Saccharomyces cerevisiae S288C: one gene and its partners. Changing the gene in region 4 together with the main gene of any one other region gives a genetic interaction. Each region holds a gene or a part of one and is shown on either strand. Other genes may lie near its edges. The genes, in order: LSM7, TGS1, THP3 and BUD13.

Region 1 (7,518 bases), on a different chromosome or scaffold from region 4:
TATGCTAACTGTTTCCTCCATACCCCTCCACGCCGTTTTCTCTAATACTGTCCCCATTATCTTTTTGCGAACTTTCTTTCGGCTGCTTCCGGCCAGTTTCTCCCCCATGCAACCCCCTGCGCAAAGGAACAGATCTGCTCTTGATCAAGTAAGAAAATGTGGGGGGCAGGCATCTTGAAAAATTCTCTAAAATTTGCATGTATTCTGTTTTCCGCCAAGGGATAGAGCAAGTGGAAGACGTAGTTGAAGGACTTTTCGTAATATATACAGGCATGCTATTTATTTATTTTGTTGGTGCTTTCTTGGTAAATTGCAAAAACTGTTAGTGAAGTTTCTTTGTAACTTTGGCACTAGTTGTTACACAGGCAGTAACACTAAGCACTATTTTTTTACGTTGTTTTCGCAGACAGCAGAAGAGATAAACGGACCTATTCAGAAAATGTCCTCCAGCATCTTTGAAATGACAATAGACCACGACGGTATGGATAGTACGGGGCTGAAGCTTTCACAGACAGCCTCATCCATATCCATGGGCGACGAGTTTCTTTGTTCCAGTACTACTAGTAATTCTATTCTGGATTCTCCGCTTCCGAAAGTGACTTTTAACCATATCGATAGCATAACAGACATTAACACAAACATCATGAACGAAATAGTGGAGCCACAATCCGGAGTAGATGTTGATGTTGCTGACAAAAACGTGCTTTACTGCATAGATCCGTACCCAGTGGAACCTCCGTGTTATGATTTTGCGAATCCGTCTAAAGTCATTAGGTACCCTATATATGAGCATTGTCGTCCGTGCCTCACTTCTGTGAAACCTCCCAGTTATACACCGTCTGTAGAACACTATACTGTGGTTTCTATGAAGATGGAAAAACTATCGCCCTTTGAAAATGCTTCTTCTCGATTATGGAACAACTTTATTCTTCAAATAAACTCTACGCAGATAAACTTTTATTCTATTGACGATTCATTAACCAGGCATATTAAAAACTATCGTGGTGGTGACATGTTTGACCATTCCCACCATTCCAAAACTGCTAGCGATCGCCATCATTCGGCTCGGTCGTTATTAAATGCGTTCACGACGAAATCCACTTACCAATTCGATAAATATGACAAGGAAAGGATATGCGGGGAAATAGCACGAGACGAGCACAAATTTTTATCAGATGAGCGCCTCTTTAAGAGTTACTCCCTGCAATGTGCCAAAGTTGGTCTGCCTATAGATTATTCCTCTAGAGATTTTGTTTTAAGAATGCGTTGTGAGGGACAACAGTTTCTAGTGCAGTTTTCTCATGTAGACGAATTGATCTATTGGGCTATGTATTTGAACATGGGTATATCCCTGTCCTTGGATCTGGAATTGAGGGAAATGCCCACCTATAGAAGCGTTCCCAGAAGGAGACATCCGAGGGCAAGAAGATTTAAGCAACACAATAAGAACAAAAACAAAAACAAGAGCAGACAAAATAGTGATAGAAATGATTCTCGCTCCCACTCTTTACTTTTAAGAAGATCACACACCTCTTCTGTTGTAACAAAAGTGGCCACCGGCAACGAACGTCCGACAAACAAATCAAGATCAAGAAGTTTAAGCTTGCTACCTCCCTCTGTATCCGATGCGAGTCATGACTCCAATGGGCCCAATGACTCTGGTTCATTGGCAGGGGAGAGTTCTCAAACTGATTTTTGTGGCTTATTTACATCAAAACTAAGAAATTTCTTTAAAACAGATTCCAGTTCGAGAAAAAACTCTAATATGGACATTGGACAAAAAATGAGATCGAAGGAACTGAATAGTGTTCAAGAAGAAATCGATGACAATGGTAGTACTACTAATACCAATACTTCTGTTCTATCTTCCACTTTTTCTCCCACAGCACATTCTGTTTTAACGGCACAAACATCCATCCATGAAAACTTCAGAAGTAGATCGAATTCCAACCCTATAGATCCTTTGCGCTGTGATCGGTCAGTGTTGAAAATTAATAATTTTGAACCGGTATACGAGGGAACAGGAAGGTCAACTATTTCGAATTCTGCTGAGCGTACGAATCGTGAAGAAAAGTTAAACCGTGGCAATGAAGATGTAAATGGAGATGAAGATGATGACGAAGACGAAGACGATGCTAATTACGAAGAGGATGATGAAGATGGATATGTTGAGGATGATGACATCAATAGATTGGTATATTTGGATGAAAGAGAATCTCGCTATGAGAATGCGGACGTTGAGTACGGTACAATATTCAGTACGAAAAGCTTTTCCGTGACTGGTTGTTTAAATCATGATTTTCCAAAGAAATTGTCACTAAAATGTGGAAATAAGAATCAATCCAGTAACGATTCGAAGTGGGCACCGGCGACACAACTAGTTTCAAGGAAAAGATATATCAAAGACTCATTAAGATGCATCAAACCGTTAACGGAAGACCACCCATGGGTAGGTAAGATTATTTTCAAACCGGCACTGCCACCAGCATTCGAAACGAATAATCCACCTATAAGAGTTTATAGTGGTGAAGATAGTACGGACTTGATGCACGTGAAAAACCATTATTTAAAGCCATACATAGTGGGATCCTGCGGGTTTTTGAAAACTGGCTCAAAACTTTTTCACTTTTACGATAGAACTAACGACCTTACGAATTTATGAAATATATGTGTTTTTAATGATTAAATAATAGTCAAAAATATAATTAAAAAAAAAATCGAATGTAATGGGTGGTTCATCTTTCATTTCCTGCGGAGGGAAAGGCGTATCAGAAAAGAAAAACATGAAAAAATCTGTTAAAGTGATAACTACAAATACATATGTATAAAAGTATGAAAAAGTATGGAAAGGGTGAGCTAATGATGAGAGAATTGGAATAAATTAGTTTGCCAGCAACACGTAATAAATGAAAGGGTAGATATTGATTTGACCTCTTGGTTGTCGTCAAAAATTAAGCGATAACACAGGCGGGATCCCAGAAGAGGCCCTTGATTATATAGTTGTCTTTCTTTTCAGAGGATTTATCCTTCTGAGTGGCTTGTGTGGAAGCAGTGGTGATCGGTTGCATTAAGGTTGGTAGTTATTGTTGTATGAAGATGATAGCTCGCTGGTGTCTCTAGTGATGTCAATGAACGGATGAACGACAGAAGAAGTGGATGGAAATAAAATGGTTATTTATCAGATATTTATATACAAAATTACGTGGTAATGCAACAGCTTTTTCCTCTCGCTTTGTTCTTTTTCCTCTGACATGCATGTTTCATTTTCGTTCCTTATGGCATCCATGTCATGTAAATTTCCCGAATAGGTAAATACATGCTTTTTTAACTTAAAAAATTATGGGCGTCCTATGCATGCACTTAACGGAAAAGGAAACTATCAATTAATTATGTAGTAGATGGTGTACCTATTATTGCATTAGTATTTGTTTCAAATGAAAACATGCTGCTTTAACTTTTCTAATTTATACCATAAACGGTATAGTAATGATGAAACTGAAAAATAAAAAAATAAACAGTCTGGTCTTATCGACCATGTTAACATCATCAAAATCCACCAAGTTTTCCGAGAAAATAGATGAGGGCCTGTTATTATTACTAACTGAGTTTGAATTCTTTTTGTAAAATCGTGGCAGTAGTTCTTGAAATGTCATTTTGAAGGACACTGAGTTTCGAAATATCAACATTATGAGTATGAATAAAAGTGTAAGGATAATGATCCTTTTGAGTTCCATGTGATGAGAAGTGGTATGCTTAGTATTGCTCATACTGGACAAATACGAAAGGAATCAGTAAATAATTAAGATTGTAGAGGGAGGGGTGTATGTGTATGCGGATACTTTTTTGATTTGGCAGAAGGAAAATTGGTATTGGCAGCTGTACAGTGACTCCCCTTATACAAATGATCTCAGTTTGTTTCGTTTTTCCTCATTCTCTGGCTTTAGACTTCAAATCGCGGTGTAAAAAAAATAGGACAAAACTATGTAGCGCATACTATGTCAGTCAGGTATTGAGAATATGTAAAGAAATGCCATACCGTGATTTGATTTTGTTTTCAACTGTAAGGAAGGGAGTTTATATGAGATTATATTATTAAACCTATTTTTGCATATATAGTACATCAGAACCTTCGGCGGAACTTAAAGAGACCAAAATAGTACCTCTTATGACGGTCAAACCTAGCTTTCTTGCGTTTTTAGAAATCAGTTCAGTGTTGTTTTCATCATCAGGATTAGACATATATTCTACTGTATCATCAAGTACCAAGTTCATCAGTTGATCATAGCCTTTTAGGACACCTATAACTAATTTACCACCCATTAATTTGACGCGAATTTTAGAATCTTTATACTTCGCTAAATCCAGAATAGCTTCTCTTTTAGGGCCTTCGAATTTTTTCCTTTGCTGTTGTGGTTTGTTCTCTGATTTCTTAGTTCAAAAAGGAAACATAGTTATTATAATGTTAGTATAAATAAGTCAAAAGGAAGGTTATTGCCACGGAAGAAAATAAGAAGTGAAACATACGGAGTGTTGCTGATGCATGTTTTTTTGGTTAATGTTCTGTGTAGTAAACAAAGTGCTGCTCTCAAATAACTTTCTTTTTTACTGTAGTAGTATACACGTACATGCGTATTCTTAATTGTCGTTTCCCAGTTGTCTGTTTTCAGCTACAGCTTTTTTCGCCTTTGTTCGAAAGAACAGTACTTTTTTCCGGCTCGCAGGGAAACGGCAGTTGAAGAAGACAAGCGACAAGAACATAGAGCAACGAATTCAAATAAAGAGATAGAAAAAAAAATTACATGGCAAAACTATGGTTAGAGTTGTCATAGAGAGTGAATTGGTCCGTACAGAAAAGGAATTACCAAATTCGCTTAAATTAAGGCAGTTCAAGGACCGATTGTACCATGTTACCGGAGTGGAACCAGAGGATATGGAAATAGTTGTGAAAAGACAGTACGACAACAAGGAGATATATAGTACTAAAAAGGGGGGTGCCTATTCAAATGAGGATGAAGATGCCAACTTCCTAAAAGGAGAGGAGGAGCTTATTGTGGTTGTTACAGACTCTAATGCCCAATCAATCTCTAACCAGCTGGCCACGCAAGCGGAAGGAATCCCCTCAATGGAAGTAATTAGCGAGGAGGATTATTTGCGAAGGGATCAATCCGTATTACGATGGAAGATGGCTCACGGCTATGGTAGGTTTAATGCTGCACAGCAGAGCCAGCGCGCTGCGCTGGCAAAGCAGGACGAAGCATATGCCCGAGAGCAATTAACGGCGGCTATCGGCCGCCACTGTCGTGTCACAGTAGACGGGAGCGCTCCACGTGAGGCCATTTTACGGTACGTAGGACCACTACCGTTGGACGTGATGGGCACATGGTGCGGTGTGGAATTCCCGGAAGCCGCAGGCAAAAACGATGGGCGCATAAATGGGGTAACACTGTTTGGGCCTGTGGCGCCGGGTCACGGATCGTTTGTGCGTCCGCGGGCTGTGGAAATTCTATCAAAAGACGAAGAATCCGCCGAGGTGGAAGACGTCCATGATGACGTGGAGAGCGATGATGAAATTTGAATTTGTGCAGAATTAGCGCGGTGGCGGTTTAGTTAGTGATCTCCATCCGATGTCAACATATTATTATTTGTAGTTGTATTTATGTGCACTCGGCGGTTTGTATGAGGAAAAGATGTTATGAAGAGAAAAACTGCCGAGTAATTGAAAGAGATGTCTGAAGTAGCGGAAACATGGGTGGATACCTGGATGGCAAAACTAGTCAACTATGACTACAAGCACTTTATAAGATTGGTGATAATTGTAGGTGGTTATTTACTCTTAAGAAATATCGCATCCAGGGAATTGGCGAAGAAGCAGTTGGCTGCCCAAGTGGAAAAGGACAAACGAGACAAAGAGGAAAAGAGATCAAAAGACCTGATCGACAAGCCAGATGATGCTGCAACAGCAGAAACAACTTCTTTCGGTTGGGGTAAGAAAACTAGAAGAAGAGTTAAAAGACAACAGGAGTTGTTTGAAAACGCTTTGGAAGAGGCTAAGAGAAGAAACCAAGGGTTGGACCCAGATAGTGATGCTGATATTGAGGAACTACTGGAAGAATAGGCTCTCTGTGTATGTATGGGTTCCTCTTTGTCATTGTGACATTGTTTTGTTTTTAGTTTTTCTATAGTTTTCTGATAAAATAGTCTAACCATTACCGATGTTGCTACTTGCATCATTCTCAACGTCTAATCAACTTGCGTTTGCGTCTCAAATTGAGTTTGTAGGTTACGTGTCGCCTTAATAGTCAGCAAATGCCGACGTTTGTGAGACGGATAACGACTGCGATGATTCCCATTCCGCATGAATGATGCAATTCACAATTCAAACACGATATCAAACGACTAAGCCGTGAATTAACGGCTAGAATGCAAAAGAAAATGGGTAAGAATTGATTTATGTAGATACGGCAAGACGATACTTTCCTTAAACAGCCGAGAAACGAAAAGGTTTAAAGAGATGTACTGTGACGTAGAAGAGAAAGGATTACGCAGCAATGGCTTGTCCAAATTTCGTAGTCTAGCCAATTGAAAATATAAATTATTTTCAATACTAATGGGCGGCTTTCGAACAAATGTCACATTGCAGAGGTGATCGTTCAAAGTAATTAGCAGTCATGAACGAGATCTTCTTTTCTCTTATGAAGAAAAAGGCTGATGGTCGACAAGAAAAATCTCAATACAATGGCTACCATTCCACAAAGAAGTGCCTCGCTAGGTGTAACTCAATGAACTGAAATTGCTTTCGTCAGTGGTTTCAACTCTTGTGCGGCCGCATGAAAAATGAAGAGAAATTTGAAAAAATCTCAAAGAAGAAAATAGTTTCCTCATCGCAGCAACCTATAGAAAACAACACGACAGAAAGATATTGTAACTTGATAGTACCGAGCATATATACCCCGAACAAACATGAGTTCTTATAGGGGCGGCAGTAGAGGTGGCGGGAGCAACTATATGAGCAATCTACCCTTCGGATTAGGTTATGGAGATGTAGGCAAAAATCATATTACGGAATTTCCATCCATCCCATTGCCCATCAATGGTCCTATAACAAATAAGGAAAGATCTTTAGCAGTAAAGTACATCAATTTTGGAAAGACTGTTAAAGATGGCCCATTTTATACCGGATCAATGAGCTTGATAATAGATCAACAGGAAAACAGCAAGAGCGGTAAACGCAAACCCAACATAATCCTAGACGAAGACGATACTAATGATGGCATTGAAAGATATTCCGATAAATATTTGAAAAAAAGGAAAATAGGTATTTCTATTGATGATCATCCGTATAATTTGAACCTCTTTCCCAATGAATTGTACAATGTAATGGGGATCAACAAGAAAAAATTATTGGCAATCTCCAAGTTTAATAATGCCGATGATGTTTTTACTGGTACAGGTTTACAAGATGAAAACATCGGACTATCCATGCTGGCAAAGTTAAAGGAGTTGGCAGAAGATGTGGAT
Region 2 (7,946 bases), on a different chromosome or scaffold from region 4:
CTGAGGTTTGCATCAAGAGCGAAAAACGTCGCACTTCATGTATCCAAAAAATCCATCATCAGTAACGGGAATAACGATGGAGATAAAGATCGCACCATTGAGCTACTGAGACGCCAATTGGAAGAACAACGTAGGATGATCTCTGAATTGAAGAACCGTTCAAACATTGGCGAGCCCTTAACCAAATCTTCCAATGAAAGTACTTATAAAGACATTAAAGCCACCGGCAATGATGGTGATCCGAATTTGGCTCTAATGAGAGCGGAGAATCGAGTATTAAAATATAAACTAGAGAATTGTGAAAAACTACTAGATAAAGATGTGGTTGATTTGCAAGATTCTGAGATTATGGAAATTGTAGAAATGCTTCCCTTTGAGGTCGGCACCCTTTTGGAAACAAAGTTCCAAGGTTTGGAATCACAAATAAGGCAATATAGGAAATACACTCAAAAACTTGAAGACAAGATCATGGCGCTAGAAAAAAGTGGTCATACTGCAATGTCGCTAACTGGGTGTGACGGCACTGAAGTGATCGAATTACAGAAGATGCTCGAGAGGAAGGATAAAATGATTGAGGCCCTGCAGAGTGCCAAACGACTGCGGGATAGGGCTTTGAAACCACTCATTAATACACAGCAATCACCGCACCCTGTCGTGGATAACGATAAATGATTAGGTGAGGGTCCCAGATCTCGGGTGCTTTTTTCCTTGTGCGGATTGTTCTGTAGACTGCGCCTCCGCTTGCCCGGCGCTTGCCTTGAACGGGATCTATTCTCAGAAGACAGCGCATAAAAGGCAGTTTTTAGGCACTTCTCGTTAAGAAAATACACAAATAATGGATTTACGAAGTTCGTTTCAGTGTGGTACCAAAAAATTTGGCATCAGCTAATAAAGATCAAGAAGTTTTGGGGTTGTTTCGAGTCTGTCTCGGCCTTAATTGTGCAGGTACTAAAGGGATTAATATATAAAGATTGTTAAGGCCAAGTGACTGAAACTTGCAAACGTCTTTGAATCAGGCTTATCTCTTAAATACTTATATATATGTTCTTTTATAGACTTCATAATCTCTTGTTCCAAGAACAGTAAAGAGCAATTAAAAAAAGGAAAATAACAGTTAAAGATGATAGCGGATTCATCAGTTTTGAAAAAGCACACAGCAATCAAGAGAAGTACGAGAATAATATCGCTAACACTCGTTTTGCTTGGCGTATTTAGCTTCTTACTACTTACATGGAATGACTCCTTGGAATTCTACAACTCTGCTGACCCTAGCGAAAACAAAAAAAATAGTGAGGAAGAAAGTGAAAAGAAGTTCGTTTACAAGTTGCCAAACTTATTAAAGACAGCAGACAGTTTTCTAAGTAATGAAAATGAACTAAATTTCCAAAAAGTCAAAGAAGAAATTTCAAATATTCAAAGCGAGGTTGAAGTCGACATCCCAGAACCCTCATCCAAAGCTACATCAAAATTTTCTTCAAGATCGTTCCAAACTGATAATGTCGTGACGGCGACGACCACAACAACACTAAATCCACGGTCATCTTCTCTGGCCTTGCAGAAAAACTGCGATCACAAAAAATTCGACCCTAGAACAGATTTTCTAGATATAATAAGAACCTCTCCAGCGGTATTATTCATTAAATCATCACAAGCAGACTCCATTTTCTTAAAAAATCTATTACAAAGAGAATTTGAGATTTCACCCGAATTGGCCACTGTTGATTTGGAAAAACACTCTCATGGCTATGAATTAGAAAAGTATATCAAACAAAATAAACTAAATATCGATACTAGTGCTGCCTTGGAATCCATTCAGTCGCCTTATTTATTTTTGAATGGTATTTCCGTGATAAATCGTGGAATGGTGAGAGATATAATCGAACCTCATTCGAAGGGATTGCTACTACCTCTTCTAAAGTCTGAAGCGCGTGGCAACTTGCTGGTAGAAAAAAAAGACATCCCTTCTAATTCTTAATTTGTTATCACTCCTATCGACGAGCAGCCGCAGCTAAAAGAACGTTTTAATTATTCCCAAATTCACGTAAGCGATCCTCTTTATGTGCTATATATACATTCATAACATAGTCATTGCATTTTCTATCATACGATTCAACTTGAACAAGTGTTTAACCATTTACGTCGTAAATGTCTACAGTATTATCTTTGGTCGTTGTTGTGGATTCATGCTTTTTTCTTTTCGAGAGCTCTTCGTTTTCAGAACTCAGCTCTTCCTTTTCGGACGACTCCCTTCGACTATTCTCCGTACTTGCTGGTTCGTAGTTAAAAAAGCATTCCCCCCACATGCAAAATATTCCTTTCATATATCCATTCTCCTTTACATATAATACTTTACATTTGGCAAATGGACCTAGTACTTTCCTCGTAGCTCGAGAAAGCTGGTTCAAATCAGAGTTCCTTGGCAAAAACATAATCACATTAGGGCTTAGTTTAAGAAAACTTTTCAACATCTTGGTAATCCCCATAGGCTTTAGATGTTGCTCTAAGTCATACACATCGTTTCTTAAGTATTCTGGACCACCCCACGGGGGTGATCCAAATACACAGTCGTACTTTATTTTGGAAAGTTTCTGCTTAGAGACTAGCTTTTTCCAGGATCCCCGCTTCAGCCATATTCTGTCGTCCACACCGTAGCTTTGGGCGTTTTTCGCAGTACAATATATGTGTTCAATACTGTAGTCCACTCCATAGACGTAAGGAAATTGCATGGCAAATTGTATGGTGTTCCCGCCCCCACCACAGAAAACATCCAGTATTCTTTCGGCATTTGGCATGCATGCCTTAACAAAATTTGCCAGGAAGCAGGCAATTCTTTCGGGCGTCACACTGAACCACAGCTCATCAGTCATATATATCGACGCCGAATCTATCTTTGAAAACAATCTACGCCTATTTTTCCAGTATTTGAAAAGTTTACCATTTTTCAACGGTTTTGATGATTCTATCTTATAGGCATCATTGTTCAATAATTTGATCAGAGTTCTAAAGTTGGAATGATGTTTTCTTTTGCGTGCCGCATGTTTTATTTTCGAAGCATGAATAAATGTCCTTCCCATCACTTCAGTTAAATCAACAAAAATTTTTTCTTCTACTTCTGTCTGTTGCCCCCACAACACGGTATATAATATGGGCAATCAATACAACGAAAAACTTACTCGCTGTTTGCGGAATAACTCACTTCCCCTTCATATAGTTTGGTGCGATGCCTTAGAATTTTTCATACATTGTTTTCATGTGGAAAATATTCAAAAAAAGCGATGGCTGGCGAAGATAAAAAAAAGGCTGCTCCAGCCATTCATTACACAGGCAATTCAATATTTCGGTTAGTAAGATAAAGAAGTCGATATGCCTATCCTTAAACATGTTCAACTGGGATAACCAGATTGCTGGGCTTTCAGCAGGTCATCAATTCTTGTACAAATATGTTGTATATATAGATTTAAGTGCTTGATAATTCGGTTGACAACTTAACGGCTTAACAAGTAAAACAAGAACAATTAACTTAACAATAGTGCTCAAATAAATTTGGCTTATTATCACAACAAATATATCATACGGAATGATCATCAGAGCTCCAATAAGGACAAAAACCAAGTCGTTTAGAGGCGATCAAATGGATTTTAAATTCCCGTCTAACGAAAGTTTACCAAGAGGAACGCTAGAAGAGTACCATTTGAATAATCATCATCTTTTAAATGATGTGTTTGCAGCAGAAAATGGAGTTTCTCGCGATGAAGACGGAAACTCTCAAACATTATCAGACTATACATCCACTTCCAATACAAATACAAATTCCGGTTATTCATCAAATGGATACTATTCATTTGCTAACATTTCTGACAATACTACGTCTTCACCACGTATTGTAATCAATCAAAATGAAACCGCTAGATTAACTTCCTCAGACTCGAACAAAAGTGACTTTTTTGCTTCTCATGACTTCCCAGGAAATGACTCTCTTCATTATAGCAGCTCAAATGTAGTTAAAAACCAGTTACATTCAATGGAAGCTATTCCAGAGGGAAACATAACTGGCTCAATCTCAACGGCATTCCAGACTATCCCAACAGCAGATAATGTTTCCTACGATATCGCGCCGTCATCAGCATCATCGTTATTACCAAGGAAATCGACATCTAAAAGCGCCATTCTGCCGTCGACCCAAGAAGCCAAACCGATGACCAAATTAAATATGGAAAAGGATATAAAAACTATCGAATTAAACAATAGCGTAGTACCGAAACCTAAAAAAAAGCTAAACAGAGTTCCGACCATAAGACGAGTTGAATCCTCGAGGTTTTCCAATTCCAGGTATAGTTCAAGTGTCAGCAGTAAATCAAGTAGCAGTCGTTGTTCTCTAAAACGATCAAAAGCTATTAGATGTAAGGGCGGACTCTTATATTATTTCACCTCATTGGGAATCAAGATAAAGAAAAAGTTACGGAAATTACGGCTAGTTTTAAGAAGAAGACTGTTTTCATATAATGTTCAAAAGGTCCCCTCCGCCACGAATTCCAAAACCACTAAATCTAAAGCAAACATTAACAACAAGTCAAAAAAAAGAGGGACGAACCTAGTCAACAAAAACAGCAACTCTACTCCGCGTCAAAAAAAATCGCAGAGATACGTCTCTAATTTACAACGGTCGATCTCATCAAAATCTTTAGTACCTGTATTGGCTCCACAAAAAAAGACTAAACCTTTGACAGTTGATACGAAATTTAAAGCAAACCATCCCCAATCTGAAGATTCCAAAGTTGGATCAAACACCCCAAGGAGCCCTTTGGTAAGCTATACTCCATCATTGAGAAGAACAAATTCCTCTATTAGAAGGGCTGCATCCATCCTAACCGCATCTGCCACTATGACACCGGCAAATAATAAAAACTCCTTCATTTCTGTACCGGATAATGTTAGTCATGCCGTCACTCGCAACAGCAGCATGTACTCGAGGTCAAGATTGGTAAGGTCAAAACCATCGACGGCCCTAAATGCAATTGCAAGACAGCCATCAATTGTGGTAGAAAATAAAGTTATTCCGTTATCCATGAATCGATATTCTATTAAAGAGGAAGACGAATATGTAATTGATACTAGTTCTATGAGAGAATTATCTCCCGTTAATAGCGTTTGCTCATCTGATTATGACAGAGAATCATCTGAAAGCTACTCTAATTATGCGGATGCAATGGAGACAACGGAAGTAGATAATAAGGACAGAGTTGAATGCAACAATGAAATTCAAAATGTGGATGCAAATAATGAGGAAACTTCAAATGAAGAGAGTTACAATTTGATGAAACATTATTTAAGCACCGTAATTGCTCAAAGAATTATGCTCAGGGTACAAATTGCTCGTATACAAAATTATAAGAGCAATGTTGTTTATATGAATAAATCAGCAGAAACAAACTCAACTATCTACGAAGATCTTGTCGATTCTCTATTAACTGAATATGAGGCTGATGGTAGCTCCTCCCAAATATTTGATGGCGTTACAGTAAGGGCCGACGAGGAAGAAGAAGAAGATGAAGATGATGAAGATGATGAAGAAGAAGAAGAAGAAAATGATGATGAAGAAGATGAAGAAGATGAAGAAGATGATGAAGATGATGAAGAAGAAGAAGAAAAAAGAAAAGAAGGAGAAGGAAGAAATTTGGCAAAAGAGGTAGACGAATTAGCGGAATTAAGTCCGATGAGAAAACAAAGCGATTTGAGTATTACGTTAAGATCTCCATTTGCTATGCTAAATCCTGCCTACTCAAACAGCATTATATCGCTACCAACAGGTGTGGTCAAGAGGTCATTGACTCTTCCTGTCGGTATGAAAATTTAAAAATATATAATAACATAAGTTTGCATTCATTAATATTAATATAAATCAACGTATCAACCATAAGAACCATAATCATAATAATTGTTTACCTTAATGGCGATATCGCCTTTTATCACCATCGACGATAACAAACGCCTATTCTGTCTACCGTTTCTTTTTTTCGCTCGCAATATCAGAATCGTTTATCCCAAAGGGTAGTTATAGCAACTATTTAAATAACTTAGATGTTTCTTTAACTTATTCCGTCATACGTACACAAACACCCGCTAGATATAGCACTCCTTGCTGTCGAACATTATAAAGGTGCTTTTAAAACTACTAATCGTATATTCAGCAGGTCAGAACGCAAAGTCGGACGATAAACTATGTTGAAGCTAGCTCGTCCATTTATTCCGCCTTTATCAAGGAACAATGCCATTTCTTCAGGAATAGTTCTCACTTCTAGAAGATTTCAGTCTTCCTTTACGTTCTTAAGTAACCAGTCTTTACTATCTAAAAATCAAATGAAATCCAAAAGAAAAAAGGGCAGTAAAAAGGCAGCGTACCATCGTCAACCCCCGGAACACGAACATACTGCACCACTTATAAAGCAAAACAAGACAATCACAAAGAAAGAACATAGCGATGTGAGAGGTTCTCATTTAAAAAAGAAAAGAAGCGATTTTTCGTGGCTACCAAGAGTACCATCCACCTCACATTTAAAGCAGAGTGACATGACCACAAATGTACTCTATTCTGGATATAGACCCTTATTCATCAATCCCAATGACCCGAAGCTAAAGGAAGACACCGGAAGTACGTTATACGAATTTGCGATGAAGCTTGAAGATTTAAATGAACCTCTATCACCATGGATTTCCTCTGCCACTGGACTTGAATTCTTTTCAGAGTGGGAGAATATACCTAGTGAACTACTGAAAAATTTGAAGCCTTTTCATCCACCTAAGGAAAAATCAATGAACACAAATGAGCTTATTCATGTAAGTGCTAAGAGAAATACATTAGTTGACAATAAAACAAGTGAGACGCTTCAGCGGAAAATGGATGAATTTTCAAAGAGAAGAGGAAAGGGGAGAAAAAAGTCAGTAGTGACGTTGCTCCAAATGAAGAAAAAACTTGAGGGATGATTATTGAAACGTTTCATTCTGATTTCTGTTTTCCTAGCAGGGAGATCTTCTTAGCATCAATGTGCTTTTTGTACGTGGTTACTTGGGTTTTATTTATTTTTAGTTTCTTCCGGTTCTGTTCACTTTATTAGGCCTTTTCATCTTTTAACATCATAGACCTGTTTATTATACATACGCAACGGTTTTTTTCTTACATCCTTAGAGTATATTACATTCATAAACTTTATCATTCATTTAGAACACCTTTTTTACATGTATATTTTTATATATTTATTTATTATTCTTTTACTTATTGACCTGCTCCTCTCATCCATCTATCTAATATAGTTTTCTCACGACTACTTTTCTCTAGACTAGTCAAATAGCCCTCAAACCCAGATATTTGCAGCTAAAATAACACGAATAAGTAAAGAATCAATATACATATCCTCCACAAGAAAATGTGGAAACATTTTACAAGAAAATGAACGAATACAAAACAAAAACAGTTGTGCAATTACAATAATTATACGATATATACGAGGCAAATTATCAATGCGACGTGATTTCTGGTTGCTGTTTATTGATCTTTATAAGTATTTCTATGAGAATTTCTTGTATCTTTTATCGGAAAATCACCATGAGGCATCTTGAAATATTCTCCTTTAAATATTTTGGAAGACAACACCTGGGTTACCTGGAACAGCATTTTCAACAATCTTTGTTACAGGTGGAATTTCAACTTCTTCACCAGTAAAGATATCCTTACCGGTTTTGGCGCCATATGGGAAAGAAATTGCGCTAAATTCAGCAATTTTCAAAGCTTGTGCTGCCTTCTTAACATTCCTTGCAGCAGCCTTGACAGTATCGATTTCGCTGAATTGTAACTCTCTTTCAAACACATCCTCTGGCTTTTCATTAGCTAAACGTTGTTTCAATAGAGAAATGAATGGCATAGCTCTCTTCATTTCTTTAGGCTCAATATG
Region 3 (8,277 bases), on a different chromosome or scaffold from region 4:
TTGTGGAGCATATAATAAAAAGGTACCTGCATTTCAAGATATCCTGTGGGTCATAATCACCAATGGAGCAAAATGTATGGGAGAAATGCCAGCGATGTAGTCGATGGGATAAGATTGTAGCAAAATCATGCGCGTTACCTGTCTCCGATCCATAGAGGATGACGATTTTCTTGCTCGATGACATGCAGCGATTAATGGAAACACAGATGGCCTACTGTTGACTAGAATCTTCATGTTAATAAGGCTCATGAAATTTTTCGAATTTTTTTTTTTTATGTAGTCATCGCATTGCCGCAAATGCTTAGTAATTAAGAAAAACAGATAGATAGATGAACATAGATTGAAGTGATACAAAGAACCTGACAAAGTATTTACAAGATATATACAGCTGCGGTAAAACACCTGCAACTAGTTTGAGTCCGTATCCCTATCTGAGTTCTACGCTGTATTCTTTTACCAATTTAGAACACACCATGTCTTGCAAAGTGTTAACTTCGGCGTTTGTCAAATTTCTGTCCATTGATTGATAGTTGATCCTGTAGCACATAGATTTTCTCCCAGTTTTCGGATGCGTAAAGCTATCGACTAGCTTGACACTCTCTACCAAATCGCCAGCTATATTTCTGATAATTTCCATCAAATCATTTTCATGAACTTGATGAATATCTGGTTTATCTTCTGGTAACCAAAACGCAACATCCCTAAATGATCCCGGGTGTTTTGAATAAGGTTTGAAGGAAGTAATTAATCCCTTGGAGAATTGTCTTGAAAATCTTTCATCACGACTCCAAAGCAGTCTAATATCTGGAATTTCAAAAAGAAGCATAGCAATGCGGTCCAAACCCAAGCCAAAAGCCCACCCAATTGTTTCAGAAGGTTTATATCCGGCTCTTAGTAGCACATCTTGACGAATCAATCCGCATCCGCAGAGTTCGAGCCATTCGCCCTGCCACCAAACCTCTATTTCCCATGAGGGCGCGGTCCAGGGGAAGTAAGCGTTAATCCAACGGACTTTTAGCTCTTTGGGTGTATTATTCGCTTTGTTCTTGATCATGCTAGATATTTTTTTGTTAAAAACTTCAGAAACTATCAGTTCAATGGACCTCTTCAAATGTTGAGAGCACAAATCAACCTCCAGATCGGACATATACTCTTGTTTAGGATTATTTTCTTTCAAAGGTATAGTATCATCGTCAACCGTAATCTTTACATTTTCTTTATTTAAAAGGTTCTCTACCTGTCTGATATCTTCACGGATTTTCTCGATATACATTGGCTCCTTTACGCCCACATCAGCCTTCGTTCGTTTCCAAATTGTGGCTCCTTCCATTTGGTGGAATACCGGATAGTGAGTTTTGTCAATTTCATCTCTTCTGTACACATCTGCAGATATTAAAAATCCACTTTTAATATTATCTGAATCGTTTCTTATTTTTTGAAAGCACTCTAATTCGTGGGCTGAAGTATGTGTTCTCAGTAGGTGCGTCTCATTTATATAATATGTGTCAGATTTTGATCTTCCAGGATGATCCTTAGGAAACCCTAAAGAATCGAAGTTTTCCATTGTGGTTACCACGGGCTTGAAATTATTAAAGATCTTAAATGTGTTGTCGACTGAGTTTAATTTCTTTTCAATTAGATCGCGAAGAATGCCTACTGGATGTGATTCTTTCAAATGTAATGATCTGTCGGTAAGCTTTATTATTGAATCTGTAACATTGGTAGTCTGTGGGTCGGTCTTGTATTTTATGCCATTGATTTCTACATGTGGAACTTTAAGGGTTGAATATAAGCGATAAAGACCAGTCCTGGTCTTCATCATTCTATTGAGAAACATTGAAGTTACCTCCATTGGCAGATATTTTTTTATCCCTTCTCTCTCTCTGAATTTGTGAGTAGTTCCTTAATTTTCCTACCTTTTTTTTTTCTCGAAGATTCAAACCTTAATTAAGTAACTATTATTATTAGCGTTGTCAGTATTAAAATTATTTGAATATATAAATAGCATTAGAAGATAAAAATCAAATTGTGTAGGATATGTTTGTATATCCGGAGTGTATCTGTAAAGCAATCATCAATTCTTGTATCGTTTCATTTTCCTTTTCTACCTCAACCTGTTTTCCAGCAGTATCACTGTCGTCTGGCGGTATAGTTGGTTTGGGAAACTTCGACGATAACTCAATCAGTTTTGACATCAATTCGTCGCGTTCTGCTCTTGATTCAATCAACTGTTTGTGCAATGAAGATTGAGCACCTAACGATTGCAAGAGCTCATAGTCCAGAGAATTGCTTTCTTCTAAGAGGTTTTGTAGCTTGGTGAATAATACATTGGTATTGTCCGGTTTCTCCAACAGTCTAATAAGAAGAGCAGTCTTTTCAAGATTAATTTGAAGTTGGTGTCTAATTTCCAAGAGGCGCTGTTGAGTATGGCTTAATATTACCGCATGATTGTGTTTTCTAATCAAGTACAACCTGTCCAACGTGATCAACAACTCTCTATATACCTCCACGTGCTCCTTTTCTAATTGCTGGATTCTTTCCCATTGTTTTTCACTACTGTTTGTCATCTGTCAAAATGGTATGAACTCCCCACGACAGGAAGAAATGGTTAGAAGTATCTAGATATTGCACACTGTATGTGATGACGGCTATCATTTATTGTCAACATGCATCATCCTTCACGGTTTGGAATTTTTGAGTAAAAAAGGACTGAACATGACAAAAAATAGAGATTTGGCTGTCTCGTAAAGAAACCATAGAATACAAGGAGTAGGAACCGTTCGGCAGCGAGTAGTTGAGTTTCCAATAACATTATGCAGAATCCTTACGGTCACTTTACTAACAATACCACGGAGGACAGGGAAGCTTCATCTCAAGGAGGACCATTCGGCCAAAGCCTGAATAGGCCCCTAGATTACGCCGGATCTTTCCCTTCTCTGACATACAATAATAATAATTTCATTGCCAATCAACAACCTTCTCTGCCTTTGCCAGAACCACGTTTATCTTGGAACAACGTCAACCAGGTTTCTAACCCTTTGATGGTAACACCGCTTCCGGGATTACAAAAACGTATGAACAAAAACATTAAAAAGAAATTACCAAGAGTATCTAAGAAGGCATCAGCCCTTTCTAACGGGGTATCCGGCAATGTAATGAGCAACAGTAATATAGTAGGGCATGGTGCTGTAGGTTCGGCATCGGGATGGAAAGTTGAAATGGGTGGCAGTGATGAATTAGAGAGAAGAAAGAGAAGGGCAGAAAGATTCAGTCAGGGACCATCAGCGACGACGAATAGTAACGATAATTTGAATGAAGACTTTGCCAACCTAAATGCCATTAGTAGCAAATCTCATCAATATGACAAAAAGATTCATGTGGTAGGGCGTTGCCAAACTCTAGAGAAATCTTATCTGAGACTAACTTCAGAGCCTAATCCTGACTTGATCAGACCCCCAAATATTCTACAAAAAATGTATTGCTTGTTAATGGACAAATACCAATCTAAAACAGCCACTTATACTTACCTTTGCGACCAGTTTAAATCAATGAGACAAGACCTAAGAGTGCAAATGATCGAGAACTCTTTCACTATTAAAGTGTACCAAACGCATGCACGTATTGCCTTGGAGAACGGAGATCTTGGGGAATTTAATCAATGTCAAAATAGGATTATGGCGTTATTCGAAAACCCTACAATACCAAAAAAATCTTATTCCGAATTTATATGCTATTCTGTTTTGTATTCGATGTTAACCGAAGACTATCCGTCGATTTCTCATTTAAAACTTAAGTTAATAGACGATGGCTCTTCGGAAATCTTGGAGGACGAACATGTCAAAATGATATTTGAGTTGAGCGATATGAAACTAGTCGGCAATTATCACTACTTCATGAAAAACTACCTAAAACTGCACAAATTTGAAAAATGTCTAATTAATTCATTCTTAAATCTAGAAAAGTTGATATTTTTGACCATAATTTGTAAGAGTTATAACCAGGTCAATTTAGATTTTGTTAAAAGTGAGTTTAATTTCAACAGTATAGAAGAGACAACAAATTTCTTGAATGAGCAAAACTTGACGGAGTTCATATTAAACAAACAAATCACTGACAGTAATGGCAAAAGTAGTAATATCAAGATTTTGAATACCAAGGGATGTAGGGTACAGTTGATACAAAATTATATGAAGTCTAAAAAAATTGATATAAAGGGACAAAAATGATGAAGAGGGAAACGGGATGCCTAAGGTATATGATTTTGGTTTTTTTTTTTTTTTTTTTTTCTAAATAAATATATACATATTCACAACACATAAAATCTCTTGAGTGCATTCATCGATGTCACTTTCTTCTGGAAATCAGAGCCTAGATACCAGGCTTAAGGCCCCCACGAACAGTACGTGAGCTATTGGCCATTGTTCCTGCCCAAAAAACAGACATTTACTGGAAAAGTTTTTGAGTTATAATTAATTATATAGTTGTTTTATGATTTTTATACATATAATTAAAATAAAATCAAGCTTCAACCATTTCTCTCAATCTTCTGATGGTAGATCTAACGGTGGCGGCAGCAGCAGTGGAGACAGTGTAAGCACCACCAGCGACGGTCTTCTTACAACAGGAACAAGTCCAAATACCAGCAGCACCTCTCTTGACGGTCTTCTTACCACAGAAAGAACAATCGTATCTAGCGTGTTGTTGGATTTCCAACTTCTTGACTTGTCTTCTCAAAGAGGAACCATAACGGACACCGTACTTACCAGTGATACCAACCTTCTTAGTTCTTTTAGCCCTGTATTCAAAAAAGAAAAAATATCAAAATATGTTAGTAAATCTTGAAGGAAATTCTAAATAGGTCGAGGTTTAGTGTTTCGAATTGGTGATTATACAAGCATAAATTCCACTTTGTTTCCCTATATGCATCTCCACAAAATTCTATCTCTGCACTGAACAGTTTCGTAAGACTAGTTTGCCACCTTCAGGTATATGAATGAAAGTTCCCATAAAGCAGACATTTCACATAATTGTACCCTATCGAATTACAGTGATCCTATTCATTTGAGATATGGTGTTCAACTTCATGTTTTTCCCTTTATATCGTAAAAGTCTGTGGAATTCTGTCTATATCAGTCTATTTCATCACGAAACACTACTCCTCCAAGCAAACGGTAAATCGTGTGCGTAATATATCATACATTTTTGTCTCAGTTGTCTTCCTGTTGTTTGCTACTACTGTCTGAACTAAAAAAAGGCGTGCCAAATACTATATATGATACCTAACTCTAACATCCCATATAGCCCAATATCTCACATAACACTGAGTGAGCCGCCTCGTGCGTTGCGTTAGAAAAAGTTAACAAAAGTGAAAAAAAGCAAGGATATTTCTTGCGGAAAAAAAAAAAATTTCTAAATGTACGGATTCTTTGAAAATTTGAACAGTCTTAGTTTCGTTTGAGATCTTTTGGTAACCCGGCTGTTGTTCCAAAAAAGAACTAAGTAAAAAAATTGTGAAATAGTATGAAACCACCCCTCGAAAGAGCAAGCGATGGTGCATATACTGCTGAATGGCACAGAGCAACGGCATAACTTACTTTCCTCTATACTAACCATTCAATTATTTGTTACTAGCTTAAGTGTATATTCATTGTTAGAGAGATATATCTACTATCGCTGTCCCTTGCTACTGTTTTCTGAATTCTGATGGACAACAAAAGACTGTATAACGGTAACCTATCCAACATTCCTGAGGTTATAGATCCTGGAATTACAATTCCAATTTATGAAGAGGATATTAGAAATGATACACGCATGAATACAAATGCTCGTTCTGTGAGAGTCTCTGACAAGAGAGGTCGTTCTAGCTCCACTTCCCCACAGAAAATTGGCTCCTATCGTACTCGTGCGGGCAGGTTTTCAGATACTCTAACCAATCTACTCCCTTCGATTAGCGCTAAGCTACACCATTCAAAGAAGAGTACCCCTGTAGTTGTTGTGCCTCCTACGAGCAGTACTCCAGACAGTTTAAATTCCACGACATACGCTCCCAGAGTGTCTAGCGATTCTTTTACGGTGGCTACTCCGCTGTCATTACAGTCTACTACGACCAGAACAAGAACAAGAAATAACACAGTATCTTCTCAGATCACTGCAAGTTCTTCTTTGACTACTGATGTGGGCAATGCCACGAGTGCAAATATTTGGAGTGCTAATGCAGAAAGTAATACTTCTTCCAGTCCTTTGTTTGATTATCCTCTCGCCACTTCTTATTTTGAGCCATTGACTAGATTCAAGTCCACTGATAATTATACGCTGCCTCAAACAGCTCAACTAAACAGTTTTCTGGAGAAAAATGGGAATCCAAACATATGGTCGAGTGCAGGAAATAGTAACACTGACCACCTTAATACTCCGATAGTTAACAGGCAGCGCTCTCAATCTCAATCTACCACAAACAGGGTTTATACTGACGCGCCCTACTATCAACAGCCTGCACAGAATTACCAGGTTCAAGTGCCTCCTAGAGTTCCAAAAAGTACTTCAATATCCCCTGTTATCCTTGATGACGTCGATCCAGCCTCGATAAATTGGATTACAGCAAACCAAAAAGTACCACTAGTCAATCAAATATCGGCGCTTTTGCCCACTAACACAATATCTATTTCAAACGTGTTTCCATTACAGCCTACTCAACAACATCAACAGAACGCTGTAAATTTGACGAGTACTTCCTTAGCGACTTTATGTTCACAGTATGGTAAAGTGCTTTCTGCGAGGACACTAAGAGGCCTGAATATGGCATTAGTAGAGTTTTCCACAGTTGAAAGTGCAATATGTGCTTTGGAAGCTCTACAAGGTAAGGAACTGTCTAAAGTAGGGGCACCAAGTACGGTATCTTTTGCGCGAGTCTTACCCATGTATGAACAACCTCTTAACGTTAATGGCTTCAACAACACTCCCAAGCAACCGCTGTTGCAAGAACAGTTGAATCACGGGGTGCTCAATTATCAGCTGCAACAATCGCTACAACAGCCGGAGCTACAACAACAACCAACTTCATTTAATCAACCAAATCTTACATATTGTAATCCCACTCAGAATTTGAGCCATCTGCAATTATCTTCAAACGAAAATGAACCTTACCCTTTCCCGTTGCCTCCACCATCATTATCGGATAGTAAAAAGGATATATTACACACTATAAGTTCTTTTAAGTTAGAATATGATCATCTAGAGTTGAATCATCTCTTGCAGAATGCCTTGAAAAATAAAGGAGTGTCTGATACAAATTATTTTGGTCCCCTGCCTGAGCACAACTCCAAAGTTCCAAAGAGAAAGGATACGTTCGATGCACCAAAATTGCGGGAACTGAGAAAGCAGTTTGACTCGAACTCATTATCTACTATTGAAATGGAGCAATTGGCAATCGTCATGCTGGACCAATTACCAGAATTAAGTTCAGACTATTTGGGTAATACCGTTATTCAAAAATTGTTTGAAAACTCGTCAAATATCATCAGGGATATTATGTTGAGGAAGTGTAATAAATATCTCACATCTATGGGTGTTCACAAAAACGGTACTTGGGTTTGTCAGAAGATCATCAAAATGGCAAACACGCCAAGGCAGATAAATCTTGTAACTTCAGGTGTAAGCGATTACTGTACTCCACTCTTCAACGACCAGTTTGGAAATTATGTTATTCAAGGTATTTTAAAGTTTGGTTTTCCCTGGAATAGTTTCATTTTTGAAAGCGTTTTATCTCATTTTTGGACAATAGTTCAAAACAGGTATGGATCTCGTGCTGTAAGGGCTTGTCTAGAAGCAGATTCCATTATTACCCAATGCCAATTGCTGACTATCACTTCACTGATAATTGTGCTTTCTCCTTATCTAGCTACGGATACGAATGGCACTTTACTGATCACTTGGCTATTGGATACTTGCACTTTACCTAACAAGAACTTGATTTTATGTGATAAACTGGTAAATAAAAATCTGGTTAAACTATGTTGTCATAAATTAGGCTCTCTTACTGTCTTAAAGATTCTCAATTTAAGAGGTGGTGAAGAAGAGGCACTGTCGAAGAATAAAATTATCCATGCAATATTTGATGGTCCAATTTCTAGTGATTCTATCTTGTTCCAGATACTAGATGAGGGTAATTATGGTCCAACATTTATTTATAAGGTTTTAACCTCGAGAATTCTTGACAATAGCGTTAGAGATGAAGCTATAACAAAGATTCGTCAACTGATTTTAAATTCCAATATCAAT
Region 4 (7,695 bases):
TAATATGAATGGAATGTCTATTCCGCCACCAGCACCACATGGGTTTGGACAACCGATTTCCTTCCCACCTCCACCTCCTATGACAAATGTTTCAGATCAAGGAAGTCGTATTGTTGTCAATGAAAAGGAAAGCCAAGATTTGAAAAAATTCATTAATGGTAAACAGCACAGCAATGGTTCAACTATTGGGGGAGAAACAAAGAACAGTAGGAAAGGCGAGATTAAACCTTCTTCTGGCACAAACTCTACTGAATGTCAATCGCCAAAGTCACAAAGCAATGCTGCTGACCGTGATAATAAAAAAGACGAATCTACTTAGAACATACGACTAAAAACGAAGTATATTCGAGGTTACTTTAATAGTATATCTGAGACCTATATAAAGAGGGGTATTTGTATTTAATCGTTGATCTTGTTAAGAAAAAGCTTATAACAAATGGGGATTGTCAAAGGGTATTTTTTACACAAAGCTTTCCGCATAGTTATATATTATCTCATTTTCAATAATCCTCCTGTAGGGTGTAGCTTTGCACTTTCTTCTCATTGATCTCATTTTGCTTAGCAAACCATTTTTCTTCAAAGCCATTTGATCTGTGGACACCGTCCCATCTTGACCCAGGCATAATGGCAAACCTGTTCTCAGGTGCTGGCTTATCATAAAGCTTGCGGCCCAGTAAAGATGTTTTTACAGTTCTTTCTTTGTCATGTGTAAATGTTATTGCAGGGTCTTCTATCGTCAGACTCGAGGCAGTTTGATTTTTCTTCTTATCATGTGCATCTACATTTATTCCAAGCTTTTGCACGTCTCCCATATTCAAATTTTTCAGGTATTGCTCTCTTTCCGCGGCTTTCTCATCTTCATATTTAGATCGACTAAAACTAGAATCGTCTATCTTGGAATCTTCCTGAATCTTGTGACCTTGAGCGTCTCTGTATATGGTTTTTCGTGTTTTCGATTTGTCTGCTACTGTGACAAGTGGCTCTTGAGCCCTGATTTCCTTTAGATCGTTCTTGCTTTCGTTGCCAGTAATTGACGATGCGGAAGGATGTGTTATTGCATGGGAAAGCTCGTTTGTTTCCAGGTTCTTCCATATATTCTTGCTTTTTTGTTTGTCAAACTTGCTGAATGAAGCAACTCCTGACTTCTCCTGTTCTTGTTGCAGTGTACTTAGCCGTTCTTTTACTATCAAAGAAGTTTTGTCTGAGTTAGCGTCTGATTTTGACTCTTTCTTCTTCTTTTTCGTCTTATTTTTGGGTTTCGTGGGCCCATAAGTCTCTGATAAATACTGATGCAATGCCATGTAATAAACGTCCTGTTGTTATCTTCCACCATTCGAGTCTTGAGAACAACTTTCAAAATCAAGTCAAATAGCCATTTTCTTTATGCCATTTTCTAAGCGCGTTCTACAAAAAAAAAGCTTTTAAGCTTTAATACCTTTTTTGTTTACGTTTGCAAACATTGTTATCGTTCACATACCTGCATTTCCATCCATGCTGTAAGCCATTAGGTGTTTGTATGTGAGATGGTGACTGGTGAAGAAAATGTGTATCTAAAGTCAAGCTTATCCATTCTCAAGGAGCTCAGTCTCGATGAACTACTAAATGTGCAGTATGACGTGACTACCTTAATCGCGAAACGTGTTCAAGCACTGCAAAATCGGAATAAATGTGTTCTCGAAGAACCTAACAGTAAACTGGCTGAAATTCTATGTCACGAAAAAAATGCTCCTCAACAATCCTCTCAGACGTCTGCGGGGCCAGGTGAGCAAGATTCTGAAGATTTCATCCTTACTCAGTTTGATGAGGACATAAAGAAAGAATCAGCAGAGGTTCACTATCGTAATGAAAATAAACACACTGTGCAGTTACCGCTGGTTACTATGCCACCTAATAGGCATAAACGGAAAATTTCGGAGTTTAGTTCGCCTTTAAATGGCCTCAACAACTTAAGCGATTTGGAAGATTGCTCTGATACTGTAATCCACGAAAAAGATAATGATAAAGAGAACAAAACAAGAAAACTATTGGGAATAGAGCTCGAGAACCCTGAATCTACATCGCCAAATTTATACAAAAATGTTAAGGATAATTTCCTGTTTGACTTCAATACGAACCCTTTAACAAAGCGAGCCTGGATTCTCGAAGACTTTAGACCAAATGAAGATATCGCCCCGGTTAAGAGAGGAAGAAGAAAATTGGAGCGATTTTATGCCCAAGTTGGAAAGCCAGAGGATTCTAAACACAGATCATTGTCAGTAGTTATAGAATCGCAAAATTCGGACTACGAATTTGCGTTTGATAACTTGAGGAATAGATCAAAATCCCCCCCAGGTTTTGGAAGACTGGATTTTCCCTCCACTCAGGAAGGGAACGAGGACAAAAAGAAATCCCAGGAAATCATCAGAAGAAAGACAAAATATAGGTTTTTAATGGCAAGCAATAACAAGATCCCACCGTACGAGAGAGAATATGTATTCAAAAGAGAACAATTAAATCAAATTGTTGACGATGGATGTTTCTTCTGGAGTGATAAATTATTGCAGATATATGCTAGATGTTAAACGCCAGCGATCATCATTCTTTATTCATTACTTCAAATACATTTTTTTTGGTATGGTTGAAAGGGCTTTTTTCCTCGTTGGCATATGGGAAAAACTGAAAAATAAAAAAAGGCAATGAGATGAACAACAATGGAAAACAAAAAAGGGCGAATAAATAAGCAGCAGTTGGTAAAGCAGAAAGGGGAAGTTAACGGACGTTAAACAAATGACACCTAACTTACCAGGGTTTTATTATGATAGAGAACGTCGACGTTATTTTCGCATATCTGAAAATCAAAGCATTTCTACCACGGGAACGACGAACCAGTACAGAAAAGATAATATAAAGCGACAATGTGTTGAGGAAAATTACGATAAAAAATTTTCTATGATTAAAAAAAAACGTCAGCAAACATTACAAAAGTACAAGCTTAGTCTTCTGAATCCGTTGGAAAGGGCTTTTCGCCCTTTATCATATGAAAAGTACATGATTGGTTTAAATATGCAGTATGCATCGCATTCTCTCACTGAAGGTCATCACTCACATAGTTCTGCTAACGTAAAATCACTCAATTTTCCACACAGGATACAGATAGGAGTATTAGCAAATTGTATTTTATTGGTAACTCAAGAAGGATGTTTTCATAGTAAATTAGTATTTGCAACAAACAAGGGCTATGTCGCAGGATTTTCATCCCTGGATAATTTTTCTGAAGAAAATTTCTTTACGGGGTTTTCCATGGCTGAATTAAATCCTATGTTGAAATATAAGTCCGAGCCAACTGATGTGTTCAAAACAATGAAACTTGAGAGAACAGTTGCCATCAAGGAAGGGCCGAGCCATTATTTTTATCACAACGTTAATACCAGATCTAACGTGCATACTTTTGCCATCTTTTTACAAGACTTTTCTTCCTTAAAACTGCTCAAAATTCGTCAGGTCAAACTCAAAGAAAATTGCCAAGTCCATGATTCTCTTGTTGTTGGAGACACGTTGATTATTACCGTAAATTATCGTTGTCATTTTTATGATTTGATTCCAGAAACCTTTCCAAATCCCTATATCTTTTCTCCTGCCAAAAGCTCAAGAAAACACAAAAGTAGGAGTGACATTACTTCCCTATCATTTTGTCTACAAGAAGATGCTTTATCACCTTTAAAAAAAACGAACACCGGTGTGTTTTATTTAGGTTACAGAAATGGTGATTCAATGGCAATAGTCTTCACTAATATTACAAACATGACATTACAGTACTCCAAGACCAACGGTATGACATCAGAAAGTCGAAATCAACCTATCAGAAATTCCCTAAAATCTGTTGTTTCCATAAAAGCATTGAATAATAAAGGCCTAATACTTATATCTGGAATGGCAGACAAAGAGAATGTGCAACAACTGGTTATAGCAGATACGTTCCTGGAGGACATTCTGACCGAAATCCCGGTTGTATCTTTTAAAACTAAGTTCTTAAACGTGACTAAGGATACAGAAATACTCGAGATATCGGATGACGGGCGCTACTTCATTTATGGTTCAACTAGCGCTAGGGACGGAAAGGGTGATTTTGAAGTATTTTGTACCACTTTATCTGGAAATCTTGACTACGAAAAATCCGAAGGTGGAAATATCACCCTCTATCCAATAGGAGGTATGAAGAACTACTGTAGGTTAGAAAACTTCCAGTTTGAATCTATCCACCTACATTCGGCTTTCATACCCCCAAGGTACGTAAATCCGTTTGATGCTGTGGAACCTCTAGGTGAAGAGAGCAGTACTTCACCTTACGATATACCTGAAGAAGCACTTTCTCAAAAAATATGCATCTTAATTCGGAGAGAAGATGATCCCTACAATGGGGCCAATATCTTCATAACATCTGCTTTGACCTAGTTTAGCCCACCGAGATTTTTGCTTTATAAATATTTTAGCATACTTTGCATTCATATACATATTCATATGTATAAATATTCTTTAAATTTTAACGCCGACTTCGAACTAATTAGCAGTCAAAACCCAAATGTAATGACCTTATGGTGTTATAGCATAATTCTTCTTGGTGTACAATTCCATTCTGAATAGTTCAACGATTTTAGATATAGTTAGATATGATATTATAATAAAATATACAAATATGTATCATTGTTAGTACAAGTTAAACCTAAATATAATAAAGCCAACCAAGACAGGAACCAGTAGAAAAATTTATACAAATGACAAAGAAAAACAAACGGTATTTTCCTATTTATTAAAAATGCTTGAGCGAATGGATATTTTAACACATTAGTGTCCTAAAGGACAATTGGATTTGAAAATAAAATGACAGTAATAGACAAAAAGAAAACTGAATGAATGAATGGACGTATGGATTGCTTAATGAATGAATGAATTAAATAATAGTTGGGCGTAAGTTCAGAAGATGAGGAATTTAAAACAAAAATAATCGTTGACAAAAAACGATTCAAAAAAAAATTAGATCATTTTGGTAGGGAGCAATGCTAACCCTGCAAAGGCAGTGGGAGGATTTTGGATACGTGTTCGGAAACAGAATACAAAATATAAAGATGGCAATAGTTTGCTTTACCATTTTTTTCCGGCTCAAATTTTGGGACTTTAGTAGGACGTCATTGCTTAGTTGAATTTTTTATTTTTTATTTTTTATTTTTCTTTTGTCTTTGATTTCTGCGTAAAATATTTGTACAGTAAGAAGGAAAGAAAAAGAAAGAAAAAAAAGTATTATGGCAAAGTGAATTGAAGTTCATCAGATGTTCTAGCGGTATTCATGGCAGGCATATTGGAAATACTAGCGTTGCGGCTCATATTAACTTGATTATATGGGCCTTGACCAATATGCTGCGACTTCATTGACAAACTTGAATCCCAGTTTGCACCTTCCGTTTGATATTGCATACGAGGCACAAAAGATTCATTGAAGTTTTGACTATTTGCATTAGAGTATGGCGAGAAGTGATTAGCATTAATTTTGTCGGTTTCATTCATCATAAATCCAGGCTGCTTAAATCCCCTTGAAACATTAGGATTCACATTGGTAATGTTAGATGATGAGAACGAATGGATTGGTGCAGCAGAATTAGGATGTGCCATTAAATTTGCAAACTGGCGGTTGTCGAAGTTTTGTAACGAGTTATGGCTTACCAATGGTGGGTTAGTTTGAGAATTGAAAGAAGGTGCTCCCATCGAGGGATATGCGTTTTGGTTGAAGTTCATAATTTGTTGCGGAGAGTGAATTTTCTGATCTTGTGCATATTGGTTTGAGAAATTATTGGTTACAGAGCTGTTACTTCTTCTATGGTAAGCATTAGCTGGTAAAGAAAAATGACGGGTATGACTCTTTTGATTATTATTGTTATTATTATTGTGAGCATGGTTATGATTATGATTATGATTATGATTATGACTATTTTTGTTATGGGGGTTCTTATTTTCGTTGTTAATCGTTTGAAGATTGTTATGACTCATTGCAGTGACTTGAGGAGATATGTCAGTGAATGGTATACCTGTGGCTTCTGCATAAGCTTTAACTTTCAACTTAATTTTCTTTGCATAGGATGTAGTTTTAATACTTGGAAGTAATTCTTTTGTAAGGACAATCAAGTTACCAATTTTCAATGAAAAATCGTTACAAAAGTTACCGTAATTCAATGTACTAGAGCTGTTTTGCCCAATTGCGTTACTATTTTTGTTGTAAGCAAGCAGAGGAGAATAATTCTTAACGTCTAATAGCGTTTGTAACGCATAATTACCAAAATTATCCCTGATTAGCACATTTAAATTGACTGTGAATATATCAATGGTAGTCAAAAGAATGTTCATAGAAGCATTAATCACGTCATCAGAAGCAACTGCAGTCCTTTGGGAGGCACCCCCATTGTTATTAACAATAAATCCAGTAATGATTCTAAATAATTTTTTAATGAATTTTTCCACAACATTTGAGGAGAACTTCAAACAAGATAGTTGACATAATTCATTGGATAAACGGTTAAATAACTCAGCCAATAAGTAAAAGTCCAATTCTTTGATATCTAACAGAAATTGGATGATATAATTACCGAACTGATCGTTGATTAATCCAGGAAGGAACTGCACAATTTTCACAGAAATTTTGAAAATTTGTTGTAGAGTACAAACGCTTAGTAATTTTTGTAGTACGCAACAACCATGTTTATGGGTAGAAATGGTAATGATATTATTTTGTTCTACAATAGCATCTATGATGAAACCAAATTTTGATGGCGAGAATTTGAAAATACACTTTTGAATCACATGGTTACCATTAAGATCGTTTATCAAAGTAACCACTTGCTCAATCGAAGTAAATTCTTGGGAAAATCCCTTAATAATGAGATCGATTTGAACTTCGTTATCGACAGTGTCTATAATTTTCTGTAAGGAACGAGTTCCGTACTGATTGATTGATATTTGGAAAACATTTGGATATATTGTTTGTATTAATAATGTCTTTTGCTCGGCAGTTAAATAATCGCATAGTTTTTGAACCAAATAGTTACCGAACGGATCCAAAATAAGGTCCAAGAAAAATGGCTTAATTTGTTCATACATCAAGTCTCTCACCATATTGGATTCACTGGGGGTTTCTAATTTTTTTTGAAGAAAACGGCAGCCAAACTGGTCAGTGGCAAGTTTGATATAATCCAGATCTCTAAGGGGTAGTGCGCTGATTTCGACCATAGATGAAGACGTTGAGCTACTCAAACCAAATGACGAATTATCCACTCCACATTTGGAAGCAGCATTATTACTATTGCTAAAATTTCTGAGAGATGCAGCAGGAGTCACTGAAGAGGATGGTGTTTCCATAATTAAACTGGAGGTATTGACACCAGAGTTCGAAGGAGCAACAACCGTGAAATCGTGGCTTGATTTTCTCCTGGGACCATCCATTTCCAGATCAAACTCATTGATTAATGGTAGAATGGCTGGAGGATTTGCCATTGAGGCTGAAAGCCCAGTGGAGTTGCTAGCAGCATTAGGATTCGGGGAAAAAGAGTTAGCAGAATTCGATGTTGATGTATTATTCATCAAAGCCAAGGGAGATTGTGTCGATGATATGAACTGATTAAAACCAGAGAGATCAAGCGAATGAGCCTTTTGATGGTTTCTTTTGTTATTCAT

Evidence for each region.
Region 1: mutations in BUD13 (region 4) and LSM7 together harm fitness more than expected from each alone (negative genetic interaction), as found in Saccharomyces cerevisiae (4 studies listed by BioGRID).
Region 2: mutations in BUD13 (region 4) and TGS1 together harm fitness more than expected from each alone (negative genetic interaction), as found in Saccharomyces cerevisiae (3 studies listed by BioGRID, with this or other methods).
Region 3: mutations in BUD13 (region 4) and THP3 together harm fitness more than expected from each alone (negative genetic interaction), as found in Saccharomyces cerevisiae (3 studies listed by BioGRID).

What each region holds. Positions count from the first base shown.
Region 1 is NC_001146.8:347,964-355,481, reverse strand, and holds LSM7 (Sm-like protein LSM7), read right to left. Parts: upstream 4,543-7,518; coding exon 4,525-4,542; intron 4,429-4,524; coding exon 4,099-4,428; downstream 1-4,098. Other genes in the region: MPF1 (Mpf1p), read left to right, coding at 440-2,662; MFA2 (mating pheromone a), read right to left, coding at 2,952-3,068; YNL146W (uncharacterized protein), read right to left, coding at 3,465-3,767; YNL146C-A (uncharacterized protein), read left to right, coding at 3,902-4,096; ALF1 (Alf1p), read left to right, coding at 4,811-5,575; PGA2 (Pga2p), read left to right, coding at 5,726-6,115; RPC31 (DNA-directed RNA polymerase III subunit C31), read left to right, coding at 6,961-7,518. UniProt on the Saccharomyces cerevisiae protein: Component of LSm protein complexes, which are involved in RNA processing and may function in a chaperone-like manner. Component of the cytoplasmic LSM1-LSM7 complex which is involved in mRNA degradation by activating the decapping step.
Region 2 is NC_001148.4:249,942-257,887, reverse strand, and holds TGS1 (RNA methyltransferase), read right to left. Parts: upstream 3,075-7,946; coding exon 2,127-3,074; downstream 1-2,126. Other genes in the region: KIP2 (Kip2p), read left to right, coding at 1-672; pheromone-regulated protein PRM4, read left to right, coding at 1,121-1,975; AIM44 (Aim44p), read left to right, coding at 3,578-5,854; PET20 (Pet20p), read left to right, coding at 6,220-6,981; leucine--tRNA ligase CDC60, read right to left, coding at 7,626-7,946. UniProt on the Saccharomyces cerevisiae protein: Catalyzes the two serial methylation steps for the conversion of the 7-monomethylguanosine (m(7)G) caps of snRNAs and snoRNAs to a 2,2,7-trimethylguanosine (m(2,2,7)G) cap structure.
Region 3 is NC_001148.4:651,089-659,365, reverse strand, and holds THP3 (Thp3p), read left to right. Parts: upstream 1-2,813; coding exon 2,814-4,226; downstream 4,227-8,277. Other genes in the region: TAH18 (NAPDH-dependent diflavin reductase), read right to left, coding at 1-184; MSF1 (phenylalanine--tRNA ligase), read right to left, coding at 428-1,837; MCM16 (Mcm16p), read right to left, coding at 2,022-2,567; 60S ribosomal protein eL43 RPL43A, read right to left, coding at 4,519-4,795, 5,199-5,200; PUF2 (Puf2p), read left to right, coding at 5,704-8,277. UniProt on the Saccharomyces cerevisiae protein: Forms a complex with CSN12 that is recruited to transcribed genes and required for transcription elongation. May also be involved in pre-mRNA splicing.
Region 4 is NC_001139.9:168,151-175,845, reverse strand, and holds BUD13 (Bud13p), read right to left. Parts: upstream 1,302-7,695; coding exon 501-1,301; downstream 1-500. Other genes in the region: chromatin-binding exonuclease XRN1, read left to right, coding at 1-319; ssDNA endodeoxyribonuclease SAE2, read left to right, coding at 1,524-2,561; YGL176C (uncharacterized protein), read left to right, coding at 2,767-4,431; MPT5 (Mpt5p), read right to left, coding at 5,275-7,695. UniProt on the Saccharomyces cerevisiae protein: Required for efficient splicing and pre-mRNA nuclear retention. May also be involved in positioning the proximal bud pole signal.